Caenorhabditis elegans: one gene and its partner. The protein of the gene in region 1 purifies or fractionates together with the protein of each later gene. This does not show direct contact. Each region holds a gene or a part of one and is shown on either strand. Other genes may lie near its edges. The genes, in order: F35E12.10 and F55G11.8.

Region 1 (5,259 bases):
TGTCAGAGTGTGTCATATTGGTTTGATCTACGTTAAAAATAGGTGGTAGGCAGGCAACGTCACCTAAAAACTTGCTTACCTGCCATTTAAACCCATTTTTTTCTAGCCCTAGTTAAAAACTGTTTCAGTCTATGGTTTTTGCCAGTTTTACTGTTCTGAAGTCACTTCAATAGAGTCTATTTTTGCCAATTTTTTGTTGTAGATCACGTTTTTTCAATCTTTACAATATAGTTGTTGATATCTCGGCCTTCTACTCAGCTGTAAAAATTCTAGTGTTCATTACGAATCACTTTTTTCTTTTCAATTATCTAAATTTTCAGAGCAACTGATGCAGTGCAGAACTCAATGCCTCAAATGATTCCGGCAAAGCTATTCAGTATGGTAACACTAGGCCCAGAACTTTCATTGACTTTGTCTTCTACTGCTGATAATTGGTTAACCCCTTATAATGGAAGGAAAGGAAGTATTTTCTCATCATCTCTATGGACACCTGAAGCAACATCAGGATACAATCATACATTTGGTACGTTTATACCTGTTTTAAATACATCACAATTATTAAAGTTTCAGTATCAACTAATGTCATGACATTTACTTTCAATATTAAAAAGGCCATTATTCATCAGGCTGGAGAACAGATGCATGTTCAAGTTGGACTACCAGGATTTAAACCATCGAGTTTGACATTCACTAACAGTGTTTCGGATCAAAGTCGACTTGCCAATGGAACTTATTTAATGATTGAATACATAGGCGATTCAACTTCTTCATCATCCATTGTCACATTTGAAATGGCCAATGCAAACGGAGAGCAGGGGACAAGTTATTTACCAAGTAAATCTACAAGTTCTTCTATTCAATCAACTACTAAATCGGGATTGAAGAATACATTTGGTATTGCAAGTGGAATTAGTCTGTTGATTGCTTTATTTTTGAACTGTTGACTATAAAATCTTAATTTTCTTAATATTCGAAGAACTCAATAAATTATTTGCATTAGATGAAGTTGAGAAGAGGCGTTACGTCAGAGACTATAAAATCCAAACACTACAAACTATGAAGAGCATGATGTAGGAATGATTTCTTTGTGATCTAGTTTTTAATGACGGCTAATTTTGAAATGAAACGTAGATGGTATTTGATATGTGATCCACTACATACCTCTTCTGACAGGTACCTTCATACAACGATGGTCCTTCGTTCCCTTAAATTCTCATGGGTTTCCTATTTTGATGTGAAAGATTTTCAGGCAACACTGAGTCATTTAACAATTATTGTTTTCCAGAAATATAAAGTTTCACAAAGATGAATCACCTCTTTCCAGATTCATTGTGCTGCAGTTATCATGAAAATAAACAAATCGTAACCGGGGGCGTGGGGTGACAATCATTTGATTGAGGAGGAGGGAGAAGCTTTCAGACAGAAAATCCATTATAAACACGAGGTAAATATATTTGTTCCACTTGCACAGCTTTTTCATTTGTTTGACATTCCTAGTAAGAAAAATCTACAACTTTTTTGTGAAACAAAAGGAAAAATCTAGGCTTTAGGGGAGTAGAATTTGTTAGTAGTTGGCTCATTTCTCGTTACTTTCTTATAGTTCCAGACCATTAGTTCATGATGTCAGAACTTATAGTTATTAGTGTCGAGTCACTGAACTTTTAAACTTTCAAAAAATCCTTATCAGTATGTGTCTGCACCGCAAGCAAGTTTTATTTATATAAGCTAGCCCTAGAACGACAGATGGCAAAAGTCTGTCATTTGAACTTCGGCAAAATTTTTAATACGTTTCTTTTTCCAAATATTTTTCAAATGCTTAAAAAATTTCCAGATGGTCTTCACAATGCGGGTTCCAGTGTTTTTATTGTTCTTTTTTGGATTGTCTGAAGCTGTTGATTTTAGTGAGTTTAGAATTTAAATTTATTTGGGATTTTAGAAAAAAAATTCTTATTCATTAAATTAAAGAAATTATATAGATAAATATGGTTTTCAAAAAATTATTTTGCAAAAGTAAATGTTATTTCTTCTTTTTTTTAAACTTTTTCAATAAATTGTATTCCATGAATTGCGTAAATTAATTTTAATGAAACGAAGGTAAGCAGGCACGAGTGAAAAATTTCCTACCTACCATTTAAGACAACTTCCAAAATTCTAAAGGCATTTTGTATCTTTTCCATGGTGTCACGAACATAGACAGTTTCGATACCACAGTGTACCTCAAAAGATAAAAAACACTTAACAATTTTATAGACATGTTTAAAACATACAATTTTACAACTTCAGATTGTCCCGCTAACAATATCACCTCGGTTAGACAAAATGGTAATATTCCTGAAGGAGCCACAAGTTCAGTTGTAATACCAAAAGGCACAGACTGCACAATTAATGTAATTTTCGAGATTTCACATCGAAACACAGAAAACATTATTTTCAGTTTGACATTCCCAACGGATATGCACTTTTCCTTCAATTGTCTGTGGGTCCTCTTCAAGCAGATGATCATATTTTGTTAATTGACAACAATAATCAACAGAGAGAGTATGTGGAAAGCCAGAAAAAAATTTGAAAAAAAAGATTACAGAGTACGCCCTACAACAAATGATACAACTATTCCTGTATGGCTAGCTGCTACAATTGCTACAATTAAAATCAAAGGAACAACTGGTAACAGCAAGTTCATGGTCACTTATCGATTTAACCAATGTAAGTTTTAGCATAGAATTCTCAACAAAAAATTTAAATTTTAAATATTGTACAATTTTAAAAATGTGTAATCATCACTTTGTTTCAGTGATCGGGTTCACTCAAGTAAAGAAAACAACAGGAGATTATTTTGATTTATCTCAGTTGACCGGAAATACCTACTTCACATTCAACTCATCACCAAATGACAAGGTTAGTTAGAAGCTTCAGAAAATTTTAACACTTCAGAAACTGTGTGCTTTGAGGAGTTGCTGGTAACTTTTCGGCAAACTCCGCATTCAAGCCTTACCTAGCGTTTTCATACACAAAATATACCTCGATATTTCTAAAGTCAGTTAAGCCTCATGAGTTTTATAAATATTTTGTAGTATAATTCATGTGCAACAACGTAAAAATGGTTTTAAACCAAGAAAAAAGAACTTTCTCTTTTGATTGATAAATCAAGCTGCCACGCTTCAAAAAATTCAATCTTGAATCAGAGTATAAACTATAATTTTTGGTTAATGCTTTGTTGTGTAGCAGTATTGCGAATTTTTAAGTAATACGCATTTCTTATATTTATAGAATTTAATTTTCTTTACAGGTTAGGGTAGCACATGGCAAAAAAACATCGGATGCTGAAGATAATGCTCTTGATCAAATCTTTGTGTACGACGGGGACAACCTTACCACTGCTAAAATGATTGGAACTCTTGCTGACATTGGTTCGCCTAAATCTGATATCAAATCGTCATCCACATCACTGACACTTGTCAATTTCTACGGTACAAAATCCACGTCATACGTTATTGGAAATGACGCAACTACAATGATTGGATACAGTAAATATAGCTTTATCGTTTCAAACTCCGGAAGAAAAACTTATGGAAATATGGGTGATCTGTCCGGAAATGTGGGCGGATATACTTTTCTGTGCCTTGATTGCAATCAGTTCTATTTCACAGAATTGCAATTTGCGACTTTTTCCAATGGATGGGTCAATTTCCAAGGGCAATCACCAACTCATAAAAAAGAAACGTTGATTCAATATGAGTGAGTTCACAAAAAACTGTATCAAATTCGTTGAGCTCTTCGTGGACAAGCGCCACAAAACTTTAATTATTAACTTTGGCATTTCTGAATTTCAGTGCTCAAACATACACATCAAGCCAAATGCCACAAGTTATTCCGACTAATATGTTCACGATCAACATTCACTTGGCAACAATTAAATTTGATGTTAATACTGGAAATGATGAAGCCACGTGGCAGAGACCATACGACGGACGTAAAGGATACATTATTTCTCCGAGTCTATGGAATCCAAATGCAAATCCAAACAATTTGAACTATGACTTCCGAAATGACACTCAACTATTCACCTACAAAGTTGACTTTGAAAGAATGAAATTCAGTTCGAATGACCAAATGACACTTCAAATTGGTTCAGGAACTGGAAATCCAGCTATCAACAACCAGTGAGTTGAATAAATATTTTGTAGAACATTTTTGTATTAAGATTTTTTCAGATACCCACGTGATAAAAGTTCCACTGGATCAGTCTCTTCAAATGGAAATTACATGAAAGTAGGACTCACCGCTAGTTCCAACACCGAAGTTCGAGTTGCATTTGAATTCAAGAAATATAATTCTGCAACTTCAATCGGCATCTTTATCACTTTGTTTGTTACATTATTGAGAGTATTTTAAGTTATTCATCTTATCAATGGAAACATGTCGGATATTTCTTGATTGCTTCTGTTCTTTTCTTTATATGGCATCATAATAAACGTTTTTAATGACTTCTGCTATCTCGATTATTTAGAAAATGTGTGTGTTTTTTTCATGAAATTTGCAGATCGTGTGTGTGTAATGAAAATCCTCTATTTGTTACCAGAATCACACATGGAACAGTCTTACTACCAAAAAAATGAACAAAATCTGATGAAGAACATGGGGAAAAGTTCAATTCCTCTGAAAAACTCCTAGTATGCCTATATCGTACATATATACGAGGCACGCATAGGCAATTGTGTGCCTGCAACTTTTTATCTGAAAAACAAATACGCGCGATTGACCGTGAAGACTATTTTAATTTGATTTGAAAAGTAGAAAGTATCACAAAACATAACCCATCACCTACCAGTTATGTGCCAGACTTGAAGTTTTATTTAAAAGGCTTTACTCACAAAATCAAAATACAAAATTTAATGCGTGTCAAATTATGATTCATTATTCAAAAGTTAAGTTCCTAATCTCCGATTTCAATTTCAGTATGCATTAAAATTTCAATTGATGATATCAGATAGCGAATTTTCGGGTTTATGTTTAATATTTCTTCGACATATTGTGTAATATTGACAAAAATTCTGACTCAACCAACCCACATTGCTTTGAACTTTTGAGTCTTCCGTGTTTCCTTATCAGCTTGTTCTGCTCCATGCCTTTCGTCTCTTTTGTCGTTTGAAAAATATATAAATAGATGGCACAGTTTTCCCTTCTTGTTGTGTGCTTTTTATTGTGATTTTGGGTTATTTTTTCTTATCTTCGATGGTTGGATTCCCGACTAAAATTTTT
Region 2 (4,485 bases), on another chromosome or scaffold:
AGCTGGAGAAGGAACAGTCGTGCAGTTGGATTGTGACAATTCCGCGAGGATATTATGCAAAACTGATTATCAGTGGAAAGACAACTGACAAGGATTCACGATTTGAAACTGTAGATGCAGCAGGGAATCTTGTTCAGTGAGTTATTTTTTTCCAGCTTTCAAGTGAAATTTAGAGATTTAGGGATTAGGATTTGGTCTACCCAGTAAAGGTTAAGTGAACACAGGAAGTTAACTTTTTTATCTCAATAATTCTGGCAGAAACTATTTCTGACTATTACATATATGGTACCCATTTTCTGGTAATATGATTGTTTCCAGAACTTCCCAAGAAAACATGGAACCGTATTACTTCCCGGGTCCAAAGTTCACCCTGGCTGTCTCTAATGAAGGATCAGATACTTTTGCATTTAAAGTTGTTTGGTTCACTCGTAAGTTTCGCGTAATCTTTTAATTCGTATATTCCAGTTTCAATTATGAATATTTCAGTTCCAATTATGAACGACGATGCTGCAATCGGGGCTAATGGATTGGTTATGAATGTGACGAGTCAAGTTATCGCTATGCAATACTATTCAATTGGTGACTCTCTTACATTGATGGCCTTCCCTGTAAACCCAAAGAATTATTATTCATTGAGAAGTACACTTGTATTTGATGGACACGATTGCACCTCTTTTAACTATATTTCAAAGTAAGGGTTAGGGAAGTAATATTGGCTCCAAATCTGCAGGAACATGCGAGTTAAGCGTCCACGCCTGTTCATTTTTGTTTACCTTAAGGCTTAGTTTTAATTTGAAATTTTACAGTCTCTACCAGCTGTACCAAACGAAAGAGCAATGGGTATCCAGTCAAGACGAAATCATCATAGTGAACCTTGAAGCCAGTAGTTCTAATGATAAACTCCTTATTCAAGCATCTAAATGTGAGCCAAAATATAGCCAAAAATATGGTTTTGGTTGAAACTGAGAAAATAATCAGATTTGACTGGAACCGGTGAGATGGTGGAGCTTCACCCTCAGGCCAACTCAATCTATAACGGAACTGTAAACGGAGGAACACAGATGTCATCACTTGTTGCGGTGACTGATCTCTCAATGCAAATGATTGATGTTCAGATGGAAAGTGTAAGTTTAACAGAGTTTTGGAGTTTTTCATTAAAATCCTTTATATTTTCCAGGACGCTACAGTCACAGTTTACTATGGTTCTCCAGACGCATCAACTCTTAATAAATCTTATACGTAAGTCGCTATTAATTCTTTCAACTTCAATGCCTCAGTTTTCAGTAGAACACAGTTGAAAAATGCACTTCCATTATCGTTTCGTGGACCTTTCGTGCAGTTTGTGGTCAGTAGTGGCAAAGCTGTGTTCACGTTCAAAAGTTAATTTTTATCGTTTTTTTAAAAATAAAGTATACCAATCTATTTTTTATTCTCAAATCTATTTTGCTATTTTCAAGTTTTGAAGAAAAACATGAGCGGGCATTGCCAAGCTATGAAAGTTTCTACGTATTTTCACTCTTTTTATCCTTTTTTATTCGATATTTTTTGATTTTGTCAAATTGGTTCATCATTTTCTCATCTTTAAAGATTTCTCGAGTCCTTTCAGGATTTATTTTAGCGTTTTCTGTGAACAATTTCTGTTGATTTTTTTTGCAGTTTAACTGTGATCTACACAACTTTTGGTGTAACGAGGTCGCCGCAAGATCATTTTGCAGAACGACCAGGAACTTGTAAATTTTTCCAAAAGTTAATTGAATAAACTTTTTTGTCGATGACGATTTTACGAATTTTCAGGCACTCTGCACCTGATGATGACAATTTACAAGAAGAGGGGAAAGATAAGACACTGTGGGCAAAAGATTCAGAAATCAATAGCTCAAACCCTAGACGATTTTCGTTTGAAAAAAAGAATTGCAGTTGCTCTAGTAGTTTTCGATTTGGAAATATGTACTGACAATTTCTATACTCATTATTTGGTCAACAAAACTGTAACCAAAAGGTCATCACTAGTTTATAATTGGCATTTTCTTATCAACTACGTTTTCAATTTTGATGATAACGTGCCAGTTTTATGCTTTTTCTGAAAACATTGTCATCCAGGTTGTGTTTATATATTCAGTTCCAGAACGTGAAAGTTCTCAACAAAATGTTACAAAAATTATTAATTTATTTGGCTATTGCTGCTATAGTTTCGGCTACGGGAAATGGTAAAACTAGGTTTTATAACTCTTTCTTCAAAGTTAAAACTGCAGGTTGCAAACTTGGTAATGCAATCAATAAGCCCGTTATTGATGGTCAGCCTTTTTATTGGCCAGCTTCATGGAACGAAACCCAACCAGCTCCTCAGCTTGAGAAGGAGCAGTCGTGCAGTTGGATTGTGACAATTCCACGTGGATATTATGCAAAACTGATAATCAGTGGAAAGACAACTGACAAGGATTCAAGATTCCAAACTGTCGATTCTGCAGGAAATCTTATTCAGTGAGTTATTTTTACAACTTTAGAGTGCTGATGATTAAAGCGGCCGAAGGTTAGTTCCGTAATTGAACTTTGGAAGATTTTGCACTGACAATTGAATGACTAATTTTTTTTTAACTTACTGTATTTTCTTCGTTTACTGCTATTCGTGTCATGATAAAGTGCTCAACTGTTATAATTTAAAAGATATTTAGTTGATTATAAATCTGATAAACCCCAATAGAACGTTGCATTTCTTGAACAATGTAAGATTTAGTTAGCATTTAGTTTATCCAATGTTTACAGAACAACCCACGAGAAAATGGAACCTTATTACTTTCCGGCTTCAAAGTTCACTCTTGCTGTCTCCAACGAAGGATTTGCTACACTTGGTTTCAAAGTTGTCTGGTTTCCTCGTAAGCTCATTGTGCACTTTAAAGTTCTAATTTTTCAATATTTTCAGTTCCATCAGTGAATACCAACTATGGCGTTGGAGCTGTTGGAGCAGTTTTGGATGTAACAAATGAGGTTCTTGCCATTGAATATGGTTCAACTGGTGGACTCACTTTAATGGCCTTCCCTGCAGACGATAAAAAATATCATTCGTTGAGAAGCGCTCTCATATTCGAAGGAAATGGTCTGCAAAGTGGAAACTACATTTCGAAGTAAGTTTTCAAACTAGTTAGTTCTTGATATTTTTTCAAGTAGCAATACTATACTTGAAGTCTAAACTGCAAGTAATAAAAAAGAGAATCTAGGGTATTGCAAAATATCATTTGACATTTTTTCAGTCTTTACTTACTCTACCAGTCGAAGAAGCAATGGGTATCAAGTCAAGACAGTATTGTAATAGTGAACCTCGACGCTAGTCAGGTTAACGATAAACTTCTCATCCAAGCATCTAGATGTAAGTCTAAGGATCAATTTCAATAGTGACAAAAAAATACGCAGACTTGACTGGAATCAGTGAGACGGTGGAAATCCACCCGCAGTTGAACTCAACCTATAATGTAACTGTAAACGGAGGGACACGCATGTCTTCTCTTGTTGCTGTTTCCGATATCACAATGCACATGGTTGATGTTCAGATGAAAGATGTATGTTTAACCAGATTAAAATATTTTAAACTTTTAATTCAATAGTATATTTAACTGAGATATATTTTAATTGTTACATTAGGAATCTACCGTCACAGTCTACGATGGTTCTCCAAGCGCATTTACATTTGATAAAACCTATACGTGAGTAAATTTTATGTTTCTACAAGTTAAGTTTTTTTTTTGTTTCAGCAAAACACAACTTAAGAACGCATTCCCACTGTCGTTCGGCGGATATTTTGTGCAGTTTGTGGTCAGCAGTGGCAAAGCTGTTTTCACGTTCAAGAGCTAATTTTTAAATGTTTTTTTTATAAATAAGACCTACAAATTCATACAGATGGTTTGCAAACTTTGATATTTGAAATTTATACGGTTTAAGATATCTCTGTTCATCTTCAGACTTGGCTTTCTGCCAATGGAAGGCGTTGGGGGTAAGGGGTAGGGTCGTGAGCTCTGTGAAAATGTAAAATGATGCCCTAAGCTAAGAGATGAAGTTTAAAAAATAATGGTCTTGTGACAACTTTTAGTCTGAAAATGACATCATTATTGGGACAGGTCGCAGTTTCACTGATAAGTTATGAGTATTTAATACTGATAGCAATGCGAGTTCAAGAAATCAGAAAATCTTAAGAGTGAGAATGATTTACATTTACACTAATTATCCAACACATGAAGAAGATTCCACCTGTAAACATTTTAAGATGAACTTGTAACGAACGTCGAGGAAAACAAAATCGTCAATGAAGCCGACACGGATAGAAGTTCGCAAGTAACCGGTCGAGCTCACACTTCTCCTATGCTTTCCTGCGTCTTTTGAGTAACATACTAAAAAATTAAAAACGTATACCTGTACAACTCTAAGCAGAGATAAAATTTATCCAAAATCGATTGTCACAAATACTTCAGTTCTGTTCAGTTCAGTCTTCAGTTC

What was found.
Region 2: the proteins of F35E12.10 (region 1) and F55G11.8 fractionate together in Caenorhabditis elegans (co-fractionation; one large-scale study listed by BioGRID). This does not show direct contact.

What each region holds. Positions count from the first base shown.
Region 1 is NC_003283.11:13,744,923-13,750,181, reverse strand, and holds F35E12.10 (CUB-like domain-containing protein), read left to right. Parts: upstream 1-1,829; 5' UTR 1,830-1,831; coding exon 1,832-1,901; intron 1,902-2,283; coding exon 2,284-2,387; intron 2,388-2,434; coding exon 2,435-2,538; intron 2,539-2,581; coding exon 2,582-2,703; intron 2,704-2,791; coding exon 2,792-2,895; intron 2,896-3,286; coding exon 3,287-3,735; intron 3,736-3,830; coding exon 3,831-4,160; intron 4,161-4,211; coding exon 4,212-4,392; 3' UTR 4,393-4,486; downstream 4,487-5,259. Other genes in the region: cld-9 (CUB-like domain-containing protein), read left to right, coding at 321-523, 571-944.
Region 2 is NC_003282.8:12,960,737-12,965,221, forward strand, and holds F55G11.8 (CUB-like domain-containing protein), read left to right. Parts: upstream 1-2,071; 5' UTR 2,072-2,146; coding exon 2,147-2,207; intron 2,208-2,252; coding exon 2,253-2,481; intron 2,482-2,763; coding exon 2,764-2,873; intron 2,874-2,920; coding exon 2,921-3,122; intron 3,123-3,248; coding exon 3,249-3,364; intron 3,365-3,408; coding exon 3,409-3,554; intron 3,555-3,636; coding exon 3,637-3,698; intron 3,699-3,746; coding exon 3,747-3,846; 3' UTR 3,847-3,909; downstream 3,910-4,485. Other genes in the region: F55G11.7 (CUB-like domain-containing protein), read left to right, coding at 1-136, 319-428, 487-691, 807-922, 979-1,124, 1,178-1,239, 1,285-1,384.